Rattus norvegicus: one gene and its partners. The protein of the gene in region 2 interacts with the protein of the main gene of each other region in a biochemical or structural test. Links are inferred from orthologs where the notes say so. Each region holds a gene or a part of one and is shown on either strand. Other genes may lie near its edges. The genes, in order: Isg15, Usp21 and Yod1.

Region 1 (3,856 bases), on a different chromosome or scaffold from region 2:
CATAGCCTGCCAGCTGCCTCCATGTATTCACTCAATAGAGGTGGCCTGAGAGCACAGTAGGGGCTGGACACCCTCCTGGTGGTTCAAATCTGCTTTAGTTAGCCACAGAAAGAGGCTAGCTTGTTGGGTTAGAGAAAATGGCACTGTTTGTTTGTTTGTTTGTTTGTTTGTTTTTGAGACAAGGTTTCTCTGTGTAACCCTGGCTGTCCTGGAACTCACTCTGTAGACTAGGCTGGCCTTGGACTCACAAAGATCTGCCTGCCTCTGCGTCCCAAGTGCTGGAACTAAGGGAGTGAACCATCACCTTCAGCTTGAAAATGCCACTTCCACTGAGTAGTTTCAAAGTCTTCACAACTGATTTTTCGGAGAGATGGATGTTTTCAAGAGGCCAGGTACGGCACTCCCAGAGTATTCTAGAAATGTAGTATTCCAACACCCCAGATACACATACCCATGCCTTCTATACAAGAGTCAGTCCCTGTCTTGGGGTTGACAAGAAGGCTGGGCTGTAATTTTCGCAGCTATGGACCTATGTTGAGCCATATGAAGGAGTCTGTGTGGAATCCCCTGAACCTCTGCCTCCTGCAGACATCAGACAAGCAGGGGACATAGAGGGAAGAAACCTCAAGAACCACATCCCCTCTATGATTGCCATACTAATGATTAAGGTTTAACTTGTGAAATGGGCTGTCTTTGTTATACAGGCATTGGAAAGAAAGAAAAGATCCTACTTCTTTAATTTTCTTTTAAATATTGGGCTGGAGTGATGTCTATGTGGAAAGTGATTGAAGAAAACACTCGACATTAATCTCTGACCTCTACATGTACAAGAACCTATATGCAAAATAGATAAACAAAATTTATATACCCAGTTCCTTCTAAATTTCAAGGGCACCTGCACTCACATATACACAACGCCCCCCTAATACCTTATATCAACATAATTAAAACTAAACCTTAAGAAAAACCTGGGTGCTAAGTATATAACTCAATTGTTAGAACACTTACTTAGCATTCACGAAGCTCTGGGTTCTATCCCCAGCACTGCCGAAAATGACTAAAATCTCAGAACCTAAGCAGAAGAGACAGAAGGACCAGTTTAAGGCCAATTTCAAAGTGAGTTTGAAGTCAGCATAGACTACATAGCAAGACTACTTCAAAAAACAAACTCATCTGACTCAATGTATCTTTACGTAAGCAATAGTGTTTGTTTGTTTGTTTGTTTCTTCTCTTAGCTTTTCAAGACAGAGTCCTGGTGCTTGCTCTGTAGAGCAGGCTGGCCCTGAACTCAGACATCCACCTGCCTCTGCCTCCCCGAGGCTAAGATTAAAGGTATGCATCACTGCCCAGCTACAATAAGGTCTTAATAAACTATTACAGGATAGAAATGCTTCCTACAACCCCCCCTACCCCAACTCCCTATGCTTTGAAAACTATTGTTCTAAACTAATAACCAATATCTTTGGGTAATTCTGATTGTTACTATGTTATGTAGTTTCTTTATTATTATAACATTTTTCCAAGATAACTAATTTCCAAGCTAACAAATGGCAAATACGTTTTCTACTATTAGTTCCTGTTCTGACTTTTACATGCCTTACGCAGGACCTGAAGTGCTGGGAGTTTAGGGAGTTTTAGGGCACACGTCAAATTACAGACTTGACCCTTAAGAGCCTGTCTCTTTTCTTCCCAACTACACTTTTCTTTTCATTCAGTTTTGCTTTTCTCATCCATTTAAGGTGTGCCTCAGGAAAAGGAAACCGAAACAGAAACAGCTCTGGAGCCCAGAGACTCCGCCTCTTCACATCCACAGCTCAGACTTTAAGAGAGCTGACCCAGTGAGTCTCTCTCTGACTGTGAGAGCCAGCAGCCAGAAGCTGAGAGAAGCAGAGAGAAGCAGACTCCTTAGTTTCAGGGGACCTAGTGCTAAAGCCTACAGCCATGGTGAGTCCAATTTGGGGCAGAGGCAGATGGGCTTCATTCTAGTTGACTTTATTCTATTCCTCGATAGGGTCTTTCAGAGGCAGAATAGCCTCAGTGTGGGGACAGAATAAAGTTGCTCAAAGCTCACTTGGGGGCTGGGGGTGGAGTTGGGTTCTTTGCTCAGTTATCAGCCCTAGATCCCTTAGGGCTGGACCCAGAAGGATATCTTTGTGGGTGAACTGAAACAATCTGATGGTTGTGGGAGGCTGACCCTTTAAAACTGAGGCCTCTGTATCATACAATACTGGATGGTCCTCCCTGAGGAGAAGATGGATGTGGGACATGGGGGCTGGCCCTACGACCAGTGCTTTGCATGTGGTAACTCCCAGCCAAAGTTATTAAGCCAGTGGTTCTCAACCCATGGGTCATGAACACTTTGGGGGCCTGAACGACCTTCTCACAGGAGGTCCTTCTCGCAGATATCCTGCATACGGCAAGATCACAGTTACAAAATAGCAATGAAAATAATTTTATGGTTGGGGGTCACCACAACTCAAGGAACTGTATTAAAGAACAGAAGCATTCTATTAGAGTCGCAGCATTAGGAAGGTTGAGAACCACTACTAAATCCATGTAATTCTTGCAGACCTGGAACCTAAAGGTGAAGATGCTGGGGGGCAAGGAGTTCCTGGTGTCCATGACAAACTCCATGATGCTGTCAGAACTGAAGAAGCAGGTTGCTCAGAAGAGTGGTGTGCCAGCTTTCCAGCAGCGCCTGGCCCACCAAAGCGGTGAAATGCTACAGGATGGTGTTGCCCTTATCAGGCAGGGCCTTAGTTCTGGCAGCACAGTCATGCTGATGGTAGAGAACTGCAGCCATCCTCTGAGCATCCTGGTGAGGAATGAAAGGGGCCGCAGCAATGTCTATGAGGTCCAGCTGACACAGACTGTGGAAGTGCTTATGAGGCAGGTGTCCCAGCACGAGCAAGTCTCCCAAGACCAATTCTGGCTGAGCTTCAACGGAAGGCCCATGGAGGACAAAGAGCCACTGGGGGAGTATGGCCTAACACCCCACTGCACAGTGATCATGAATTTGCGCCTGAGGGGGGGAGGGGACTACTATTTCTAAGGCCCCTATCCAGAGCCAATGTAGGTAATAAAAGACAATACAATAAAAAGTTCTGCTTTCTGTTTGCTTGTCCCATTCAGAAATGCCTTCTTTCCATGGTGACAAGGCTCTGGGTTGCCAAGTTAAAAGACAAGGATTTCACAGTTAGAGCCTAGTGAGGACCCTTTGGGTGATTAATTCACTTCTGGAGAAAGATACTTTTACTGGGACCCAGTCCTGAGCCTCTGCCAGCATCTAAAAACTTCCCCAAGTCTACATGTGGCTCAGGGACACATCAGGTCAGTTCCTACCAGTAACAGGATGAGACTTCTAATAGGACCAGTTAACTGCTCAGATCCTTTGGAAACAGTGAAGGAATGTTCTTGGACCTATCTGGGTAAGCTGTGAAGGAGGCTGATATGGGTGTTCCCAGTCCCAGTTGCAGTAGACCACAGAGGGAAGGACAGGGTCTCACTACTCAAATCAGTCACCTGCTGTTTAGGACATGGTGGTTAGCAAGTCCACCTCATCAGGGCTATAAAGAGGCTACCTTAGGCAGATTAGATGGGCACCTGGGATTGGGGGCTCATCTGTCCACAAAGGAAATCAGATCTCAGAAAGGAGGTACCCAATTTGAAAAAGCTTCACCCCCTTCCTGCCTGATGGTTCTTTATCTTGTCTTTTCCTCTATCACAAGCCTTTGAGTCGGCTTAAGACACAAACAAGTCAGGGCAAGTACCTCTATGGCCCTTCAGACTTTTAAGAGAATTTGAACGGGGCTGGGAGATGGCTCAGTGGTCAAGAGCACTGACTTGCTCTTCCAGA
Region 2 (4,457 bases):
GGGCTCTGGATACATCCACCAATGAAAACACCATGTTGGCAGTGACGCTACCAGCGGAACTACAGCGGCTTTCAGAGTCAGTTCTGTGCAGGTTAACCTGTTCGTTCCCTAGTCGGATTTAGTTGCAGTAACCAGTACTGCCTTCCCCAGGGACAGGACAGCGAAATGCTGAATCCGGGAGTTAGCATTCCCCTGCTCAAGCTTCCCAGATCTGTGGTGAGAACCCTGGAGGTTGGGAGGGCCCCACGAGCTTTAGTTAGGGAGAAAGAGAGAGACACTTGGAGGCCAGTCCGTGGGGAGAAGGCTCCATAAACAGCTCCTTGATGTTAGCAACAGACAGGGCCTACGGGAGCAAGGGCCGCCCAGCAACGAAATCATGTTTGTCAACAGGGGTTCTTGGGTGCTTTGCCCCCTAGGGGCAGTCCCCTTCACAGGCAAAACCTGGTATGCCAATGCCTGCACTCTAGTTCCAGGCTTTCCCGCAACTTCACAGGTCTCAAGGTTTGTCTTCCTAGTACCACTAAACTGTCAGTGTTTGGGTCCAAGTCTGGAGCCAGCTCAATCCCTGTTCTTTTCCTTCTGTTGTGAGAGCGCCCCCACCTGTTCAGAGACAGAATTGGGTCCCAGAAAGGCTCCAACAGAACCAAAGTTCTAGATATCCATTCCCTCTACCCACAAATACAAACATGAACATTTACTTTTTCTTTTTTTTTTTTTTTTTTTTTTTTTTTTTGGTTCTTTTTTTTTTTTTTCCGGAGCTGGGGACCGAACCCAGGGCCTTGCGCTTCCTACATTTACTTTTTCTTAATAAATTTATTCACAAAAAAGTGAGATTGCAGAGGTTCTGGGGGCTGTACATGGTCAAGGGCCTGGTAATTTCTGTACATGGGACAGGAAAACAAGGTGGAAGGGTACTTCTTAATAAAAAAAATAACGGGAGCTACAACCAACCCTCCTCCCCTCCCCGATTAAAAAGACACAAAAATAGACGTCTGTGAGGTAAGTGGGGAGCCTGGGGGCTTAAGGGTGTTGAGAAGGTTTTCACAGGTGCCAGGGCTTCAAGATGGCGTCACAGGCACCGAGGTGGTTCCTGCATCAATTGGTAGAACAGCACGTAGCCCTCACTGGATGCCACCTGGTTTTCACTGACAGGGGAGACACTGAGAAGAGAGATGGGAAATGGCTGTGGTCATTCCAGAAGATTCCCCCTCTGTCCTAAAGACGCAGTGTAGCGTAGCCAGGTGGCGATCAGGAGAGACCTCCCCCCCCCACCTATCCATGGTCAGGAACTTATCTTTTCAGACCTCACAGGAGGGGGTGGTGCCAGGGCTGCAGTGGGGTGGGGCAGGAGTTGAATAAGAGGCTGTTCTCACCGGGAGTCATTGTAGACATGCCAACCAGTCTGGCACCGGCACAGGGCTGTGTAGTGGCCATAGTGGACACTACCCGAGTGGTTGCAAAGGGCATACAGCTGGTAGACAGGGCTTCCTGCAGGTTAGATAACATCAGTTTCTGCAACTGGGAGTTGTGTCTCCCTCCTGAAGACTCCTTAGGACGTTCCCTGCCAGACTCACCCACTTTGTCGCTGGCAAAGTCCCCTAGGCTTAGTCGCTGCAGTGGGAAGTCTACACCTACTGAACTTTTCTTGATGGAGCCTCGGGAGGTGGAAAATCGGTTCAGATCTAAGCCCTGGTTAAGGAGCATTGGGGAGGCTAAGGGTCTCTAAAAGGGAGACTGCGGAAATAGATTCGGTACCCTCCATTCCCCCAACACGTCCTGAAAAGTGGCAGAGAAAGTTGGGGTGGCAGGTTTTCCCTACGGGAAACTCACTGAAGGTGAGGAAACACTGTATGGGAGATACCCTAAGAGAAATAAGAACTTGAAAAGTAGGATATGGAGCACGAGGATTCGGGGGAATCTTTGTACTGTCAACTTTTTGGTACTTCGTGTTTTCTGCCGACATCGGTCACATACCTACATAAACAGCAAATAGTGTTAGATCAGTGTTCTCACCTAGGTGGTTTTTTCTGACACCCCAACTCACACATAAGTTTAATAGGTGTCTCATTGCTTTGCCCCTCCCCCTTTAACCTAGGCACACACTAGGACATACCCGAGAGCCCCAACATTCACCCAGACATACAGCTGTTCTTCCCAAGTTAAGGAGGCATGCATCTCCTTTCACCCAGGCAGACCCTCCCGCTGAAGTCCCACATACTGGGGCATTCTCCGACTCTAGCTCCTCCTCCTTGGTGAAAAGGCTGAAGCAATCCCGCAAAGACACTTTGCCCCCAGCAAATCCTTTCTAGTGGGAAAGGGGAAGTGAGGGTCAGCATGTTCTGAGTTTCCTTTTTTTTTTTTTTTTAATCTTTTTTTAAATCCAGGCTTTAATTCTGCTTTAGAGACCCACACAGTTCCCACCCACACTTAGGGGTGGGGAGGGGTGGGTCACAGAACCCATGTTCCATCCACCCCTGGAATCTACTGGAATCCCACCTTGGGGATGGGCAGGGACAGGTCACAAAAAACCTCGAAGGTCGTGGAGCGATACCCACAGGCCTGGCACTTGAGGCAACTTTTCAGCTGGCCCACAAACAGGTCTAGGCAGAAGCACAAAGGCAGGAGAAAAAGTCACTATGGGATGGAGGCCTGACGTGCTTTCCTAGAACCCCACCTCTCCCGGTGCCTCTGATCTGCCTTTCTAACTACAGCATGCCACTCAGCTGTACACCGTTTCACAGCCCCAGCATCTGGCCTGGCCCCATGCTTCCTCCTCCCAAGCCTAAACTCCCAGTGTGTGCCACTGCATACCCACAATCTTGCTGTCTTCTCGCTCCAGGTAGCGCTTCCACATTAAGTTGGCTCGGTCATCATCACTACCACAGATTAAGGGGATGGGGACAAATTGTGAGACAGCCGTGTTAATACTGGGCACCCCTAAACCACTGAAATTACCCACAGAACCCTGTTCCCTATTCACATACCAGCGCCTTCCCTAAATTTCTAGTCAAAGGAGTAAGAAATGCTTCTGGGAACTTTCCAGGGAAATCCAAGATGAAAGGGAAAAGGAGATAGATAGATAGATAGATAGATAGATAGATAGATAGATAGATAGAGTCATCTTCCTCTACAAGCTTTTGATATATTTGATTGTAGAAGCCTCTCTTTCCCCAGTTTAATGGCATCCCTGACACTATTTTCTGTTTGCCTATATCTGTACTTCTCAGCTTCCCCCTTTTTCCCTTCCTTCCTTTTTTTTCCTGTGCTAAAGGGTCTCCCCTGGGCCCTACATGTCCAGTTTCGGTTGGCTCAGCTCTGTGAAGACTGAATGCTGACTGAACTACTGAAAAGAGGAACAAAGGGGAACAAACCTTACCTCAGTTCAGGTTCTTCATGCAGAGCCCCTCCTCGGCGAGGTGGGGAGGGAACTGGACCACTGGCCAGAATTGGTGGTGCCCGGCGGCCTCGTCGGTTGATTTCGAGGTGCAACCGCTCCATAAGGAGCTTCAGGAACTCTTGGGCATCCTGCTGGCTATAGCCAGACAGAATATGGACAAGTGATCTATTTGTGGTCCACAAGTATCCCCTGCCCAATCTGGGTCCCTGTTTCCTCTGTAGGAAACCTCAAGGCTCAGAACATGGCTGCTAGAGCCTCTGTTTGGCCCAACCCCAGACACAGCCAGAGAGAAATCCTATTCACTCAGTTCCCACCTGTATCCAGAGAAGGAAGGGACGTATTTCTGGAAGACAGCCCGGAATCGGGTAGGATTCACAGCTTCACAGGAGTCAGGGTGCCAGAGGGCACCAATCACATCTGCAAAGGCTGTTGGTTTGACAGTGGGGAAGGGATTCAAAGTTAATGTCTGGAAGGGCAGGCAGGAAGAGATTCAGTGGCTAGAAAATCTCTAGGAAGAAAGAAACTGGGGGAAATGGATGAATCTGTCAGCTTGAAGGGCTGGGAGCCATGGGTATTGGGAGGAGAGAACCGAAGGGGATGGGGAAGGAGAACAGAAGCATCAGGAGTTGTTGCCCACCTTCTGTGAGTTCCTGGGCTCGGCCTCCTCCGGGCACCTCTTGCCGGAAGTCCCTTCGCAGACAAAAGTCTCGAAGAGGCCTTGTGCTGCTCAAACACTGTAACACGGCGTTCAGGAAGCACTGCAGAAGCAGTAGGAACACTGCCGTTACCTTTTTTTTTTTTTTTTTTTTTTTGGTTCTTTTTTTCGGAGCTGGGGACCGAACCCAGGGCCTTGTGCTTCCTAGGTAAGCGCTCTACCACTGAGCTAAATCCCCAGCCCCTGCCATTACCTTTCCAGACGGGTGCCCAGCAGGACCAAGAGCTTCACTGCTCTCGCCTGCATGCCTTCCCTAGCTCTGCCATTGTTTCCACCCCCCAACACCATCTCACATTCCTTTTACGGAGGACGGGAAAATGGCTCTTACTGTATTTCCTAGATTTC
Region 3 (5,132 bases), about 42 Mb from region 2:
TACTATCTTGCAGAAATGTGAACTATCTAAGAGCTCATAGCTCATGTCATCTATGGAAACATTTTCAGGAAACCAAAGCATACCACTGACACTTTAGAGGAAGACTTGTTTGTTAAGAAGTGCTTTGAGCTAAACAGTTGAGGCAATAAAATCCCTCCAGAAAAATTTATATGTAAAAAAGCAAAAGAACTAAACTCTCAAGTTTTCAAGATACTTCTTGAATTTTAAGCTAAATTAGCAATTAAAAAGGCATACCCTGCATCATTTAAAAAAAATTATCTAATGTGACAAACACCAATACATGAATTGCATTAAAACACGAGGCCAACAGTCTTTTAAAGCTTCAGTAAGCTGCTTCAGGCACCTTTCCCCCTTTTATACATTCTACTTTTATACACTAGAAATCTCAACAGGACCATATTAACTCCTGTTTTAGATAACATTCGCAAGGGATATACTTATCCCTGTAAAATTGCTTTTTATGTACTTGTAAGTAGTTAGAGACACTTATAAAGTCTACCAAATTGCAATATAAAAAGTTTTGACAATTCTGAGTATCTTCATTTGATGAATCAATTCAGAATTTAGAAACAACTAACTCATTCAAATATTAAAAGAAATCAACTACTGGAGACACTGTGGTATATGTCCAGTGGTCCTCCACAAAGCTTTGCATATTACCTAAAATATGTTTTCTTTTATAAGCTAAAGCCGCAGGGTGCTGGTTTATAATACAATCCAGTCTTCGGGTTAGCATCAGAAGCGGCCAAAACCACCTATTCCAACACCCCGGTAGAAAGAGGGCATGCCACTAGTGTAGACACACATCTGTAAACTTGCACACTGATTTTAATCTTAACAAGGAATTTCAGTGTCAGTCATACTGGTTTAAGATAAAAGGATGGTCCAAGCATTGTGTTCTATTCTGTAGGGTTATGAATAGCTTATTGGAAAACCCAGAGCCTTCTGGATCTGTGAGGTAGTAGGCTCCAATTCTCCGGAACAGATCACACCTCTCCAAAGTTGGTATGGCCTGTCTCCCTGGCATGGTCCCTTGCTTCAGCTTGTCCGGTTAGGCCCTTCTGACACAGCATGCATCTCAGGGTGAAGCGGTTTACATCAGTGAACTGTCTCTTTCTTCTAGCTTCATCAGCTAATTCCAGTGCTTGTACGAGAACAATATCATCATTTGAGGAGAAAATGGTCAGAGGAGGGGTATCCGGATCAGGGAAGTTTCGCTGAAGCGGATCGTAGTGAATGCCATCGTAGATGAGTAGAACCCTTTTGGTATAGCCTGCATCTTCCCCAAAACGATCAATTCTGACTGTCTGTGTATCTACTACACATATTTCACATTGATAAAACTTGGACAGGATTGATATCTCAATTGCTCCCCCCCAAGTATCATCCCTTCTGATCCAATCACAGTACTCTTCGTTTGTCTTTCCCAGTATTGCCTCACTATACAAGTCTGGATCACTGGCTACAATTTGTGCTATGAGGCGTCTCATCTCAGGGGCACAAGCTGGATTCAAGACTCCTCCTTCAACTACATAGTACACACTGGTAAAGAGGCAAGAGTTGTCTGCTGGGACTGCGGTTCTGGTAAGCACAGGCAGAGTTTCCCTGACATAACTAGGAGCACCATGTTTTGAAAACGCAGGTGAAGCTTTTGGTCTGGTTTGGTCTTCTTCAACAATCAGCATGTCACCTGTTAAAAATAAAACAAATCCAGAACTGCAGAGAAATTATAGATTGGGTATTTATTAGCCAACTCAGTAAATTAGAAACCAAATGAGTTAAAGGTATACAGAGGGTTACCAAGGAGAACCCAACTTTGTAAACAAGAAGCCAGTTAGCTCTTTTAAGTTTGTCTGTGTTTGGTTCACTGTGTCTTCAGAAAGAGGAGAAGAGAACAAAATGCTCTGCGTTGCATTTAAACTTAACAAATCTTTCAGAGGTTCTCTACAGACTAGGTAGGTCACCAGGGTGTTTGTCCACTTAGCAGGACTATACCATTTGACAGCTCGAGGGGCCTTGACACAACATGCAAAGCTTTTAATGACCAACACTGATGTCCAAGTTCTAAAACTGGGAACAAATAACTGTTGTTGGTTAATTCTACAGTGAACTCATACGTCCAAGTGTACACGAAACAAACTCAAAACAAATTAACCGAGGGACGGACAACTAAGGCAAAAATCCGTATCTCAACTGCTGACCTGCTGATCAGGATAGGGAAAAAGAACCACCCTGTCAGGGGAAAGGATCCTGCTGTCCTCTGGGAAAGCAGAGAAAACGATTGACCTGGACGCAGGCTTGGGGAACAGGGAGCTTCAAGACTCCAGACTTGTCTCTAAAACACAGTTAAAAGGACTTGACACTTGCCCCGGCCTTCCTGGAGTTCTGGTCCTTCTCGAAGCCCCTAGCTGTCACACCAGCACTTTGCCTTACTGGCTTTACTCTTCTCCCCTCAATGTCCTCCAAGACTTCCCCGGCCCCGGCCGGTGCCCGTACCTGACTGGATGGGCAGGTCCCCGAGAGTGATGTCCCGGTCGCTGAGATCCAGGCACTCTGGTGGGTAGCCGACGAGGATTCGCTGACTGCCAGGAGCGATGCCGGTGATAGCGGCGATTTGGCCCTGCAGTTCCCGTAAGCGGGTCCGGTTGGAAAGACCCTGCAAAACGTGGGTGCCACCCTTGGCCTTGCAGCGGAGCCGCCACATAGTGTCGGCCGGCCGGCCTCCTGCGGGGCCAGCCTTGGTCCCAGCCGCAGCCTGGGAGACAGCGCCGGAACAACCAGCGGGGGGGACCCCAAAATGGCCGCCTTTCGCGCCTCCAAACATCGCGAGAAGTAGCCGCTGGGGCGCTTCTCGCGACACCTCGGTGGGGACTTGGCTTCGGCCCTTCCAAATACACTCCGGCTCTTAAAGTGATAAGGGCAGCCGTGGGTGAGGGCTGGAGGTTGGCCAGTTCTCCCGAGCGCTCCGGTGAGGCGCCCTTCGCGTCGGCAGCATTTATCCTCCAGGGAGGAGGGCGGGGAAGGAGTTCCCGAGTCTAGCAGAGCAGAATGTCACCTTGCAGGGAGGTCGGAAATGATGAAAGCAGCCACCCAAACACCAGGCAAAGCAGACTCATCCTTGAGAAGGTAAACAAATGCCAAGAAAGGTCAAAGGACCTGCCAAACAGTCACTCTGCTGACGAGTTCCTGGCTGCACCGAACTGATTCATTGAGGCCAAGTGGACGGGACGACCGGAGTCCCGTGAGACGAACTTGAAAGCGTCCATCTGCCACCTCAGAAAGACTGTATGAGGTCAGCAGCCCTGCCTGGGGCGATTGCCTCACTCGGGTGGTGGCAGTGTTCAAGAGGACTAACTCTTGTCATCCGGATTCCAGTTCGATTCCTCGGATCCAATTAGGAAGACACTCCATCATGCGATTGGAGTCCTCGTCGTGGCCCAGAGATAGAAGACGGACGGGGAAGGGGAGACCTAACCAGATAGCTAGGTCAGTTTCCAACTTTGTATGTCGAGAGCCCGAGACTGCCTTGAACATAATAAAAGGTGTGCAGTAAACGCCGAATAATGACAGTTTATAGCACGCCTTAACACGCTGGGGGTTGTAAAACGCATTCTTGGACTATGTGGAAGGTGACTTGACTCCCAGGTAAAGAAGGAATGAATAAAAGCAGCTCTAGGGTCTCCCCTGACCCCCCCATCATTTAGCTAAAGCAGCAAGTCCCCCTCCCCACTGTGGACTGTCATTCGCATCGGGTACCAAAGGCATGCTGGGGGCGTGGCTTTGAAAAGCAGTTCTGGGATACGTAAACCCCACTGCAACAACCTGTACTGGGAATCAATGGTAGCAAATCTGTTCCTCTCCACCCTTACACCAGGAGCGGGTGCAGCTCTCCTCCTTGGTTCTTCAAGATGACCCCAGATAATATAGCCTGGGTCCCGGGTTGTACGAGGAAATAAAGGAACGTGCTTTGGAGTCACCTGGAAGGTGAATGAGAAGCTCCCGGATCCGTAGGTTCCAGGATCCTGACCAGAAATTGGAGTTAGCTCTTGCATTCTGGTAGCCAGCCAGGCATCTTTAAAAGCCGACGTCTACCTTCCAGAACCTAGTCTAGCTGGAGATTCTGGGGTGAAGGCGTTAATCCTCGTTTTTTTTTCACCAGTCACTCCCACGCAAGATGTCAGCCAAACAGGTCTCGCGAGAATAAAAAAAAAAAAGTAAGGCTTTTAATTAACCCCGCCTTCAGCTCGATTTGTTTCCAAGCAACAATGCCACCAAGCTCTACTGGGTCCGCTGTTTTGGGAGCGGACAGCCTTAAGCTGTCACAGGTCCTCCCAGACCCCAGGAGCCCGCCCCCGGCCCTGCAGGTGCTTCATTGGTCCAGCGTGCCTCCAGGTGAGGACTGACGCGGGGTTGGGCGGGCCCGAGCGCCCCACGTGACCCCCCCCCCCCCCCCCAACCCCCGGAGCCCGGACTTCTTCAGTCTGCCTGCTCGCTCTGCTTCCCGGCGCTCCGGTGGCGACACCGGGTCTACAGCAGGGAGGACGAATAGGACAGGTCATAGGGTGAGCGATAATTGAGCAGTCTGTACGTGGGGCTGGGGTCCTGCGCGGGCGCGGTTAAGGTGCAGAGCGACGGTGCTTCGTGCTTTAGGGAAGGGTAGCTCCCGTGACACTCCTGGGCGTGCAGCCCTTCAGGGACGCTGAGCCGCAGCTGGTGTGTGGGGACTGAGAGAATTGGCTCTGTCGGGAGCCATGCACGCTTTCTCTCTCTCTCTCTCTCTCTCTCTCTCTCTCTCTCTCTCTCTCTCTCTCTCTCTCTCTCTCTCATCTTTTGTCTTGAGCTCCTTGCTATCAGGGTTTGAGAAGTGAGCCCCAGTCCCTCTCACCCTAGTTTTGCAGGTAACATTGAGTAAGTCATTTACTTCCGCTGTGCCCTAGGGTATGAATAGGCAAGAGCAGGGAGGCTAGAGAGCAGAGAACGTCTGAGAATGTAACAAGCTAGGGTTATCTCAGTTCCGCCAAGGTTCTTCCTCCCTAGAATGTGCTTTCTCCCCTGGCCCTCCCACCACAATCCCCAAATTCATTCTCACTCCCGCCTCTCTCCCCCTCTCC

What was found.
Region 1: the proteins of Usp21 (region 2) and Isg15 form a complex in vitro, tested with the Homo sapiens proteins (2 studies listed by BioGRID, with this or other methods). The link is inferred for Rattus norvegicus from reciprocal best matches to the Homo sapiens genes USP21 and ISG15.
Region 3: the proteins of Usp21 (region 2) and Yod1 form a complex in vitro, tested with the Homo sapiens proteins (2 studies listed by BioGRID, with this or other methods). The link is inferred for Rattus norvegicus from reciprocal best matches to the Homo sapiens genes USP21 and YOD1.

Annotation. Positions count from the first base shown.
Region 1 is NC_086023.1:172,065,604-172,069,459, reverse strand, and holds Isg15 (ubiquitin-like protein ISG15), read left to right. Parts: upstream 1-1,803; 5' UTR 1,804-1,941; coding exon 1,942-1,944; intron 1,945-2,569; coding exon 2,570-3,052; 3' UTR 3,053-3,091; downstream 3,092-3,856.
Region 2 is NC_086031.1:86,234,329-86,238,785, forward strand, and holds the end of Usp21 (ubiquitin carboxyl-terminal hydrolase 21), read right to left. Parts: coding exon 4,441-4,457; intron 4,156-4,440; coding exon 4,035-4,155; intron 3,824-4,034; coding exon 3,712-3,823; intron 3,533-3,711; coding exon 3,377-3,532; intron 2,877-3,376; coding exon 2,812-2,876; intron 2,601-2,811; coding exon 2,497-2,600; intron 2,306-2,496; coding exon 2,219-2,305; intron 1,975-2,218; coding exon 1,896-1,974; exon of another isoform or gene 1,690-1,895; coding exon of another isoform or gene 1,683-1,689; coding exon 1,575-1,682; intron 1,489-1,574; coding exon 1,374-1,488; intron 1,161-1,373; coding exon 1,070-1,160; 3' UTR 799-1,069; downstream 1-798. UniProt on the Homo sapiens protein: Deubiquitinates histone H2A, a specific tag for epigenetic transcriptional repression, thereby acting as a coactivator.
Region 3 is NC_086031.1:44,725,178-44,730,309, reverse strand, and holds the start of Yod1 (ubiquitin thioesterase OTU1), read right to left. Parts: upstream 2,992-5,132; 5' UTR 2,846-2,991; coding exon 2,518-2,845; intron 1,712-2,517; coding exon 1,008-1,711; 3' UTR 1-1,007. UniProt on the Homo sapiens protein: Hydrolase that can remove conjugated ubiquitin from proteins and participates in endoplasmic reticulum-associated degradation (ERAD) for misfolded lumenal proteins.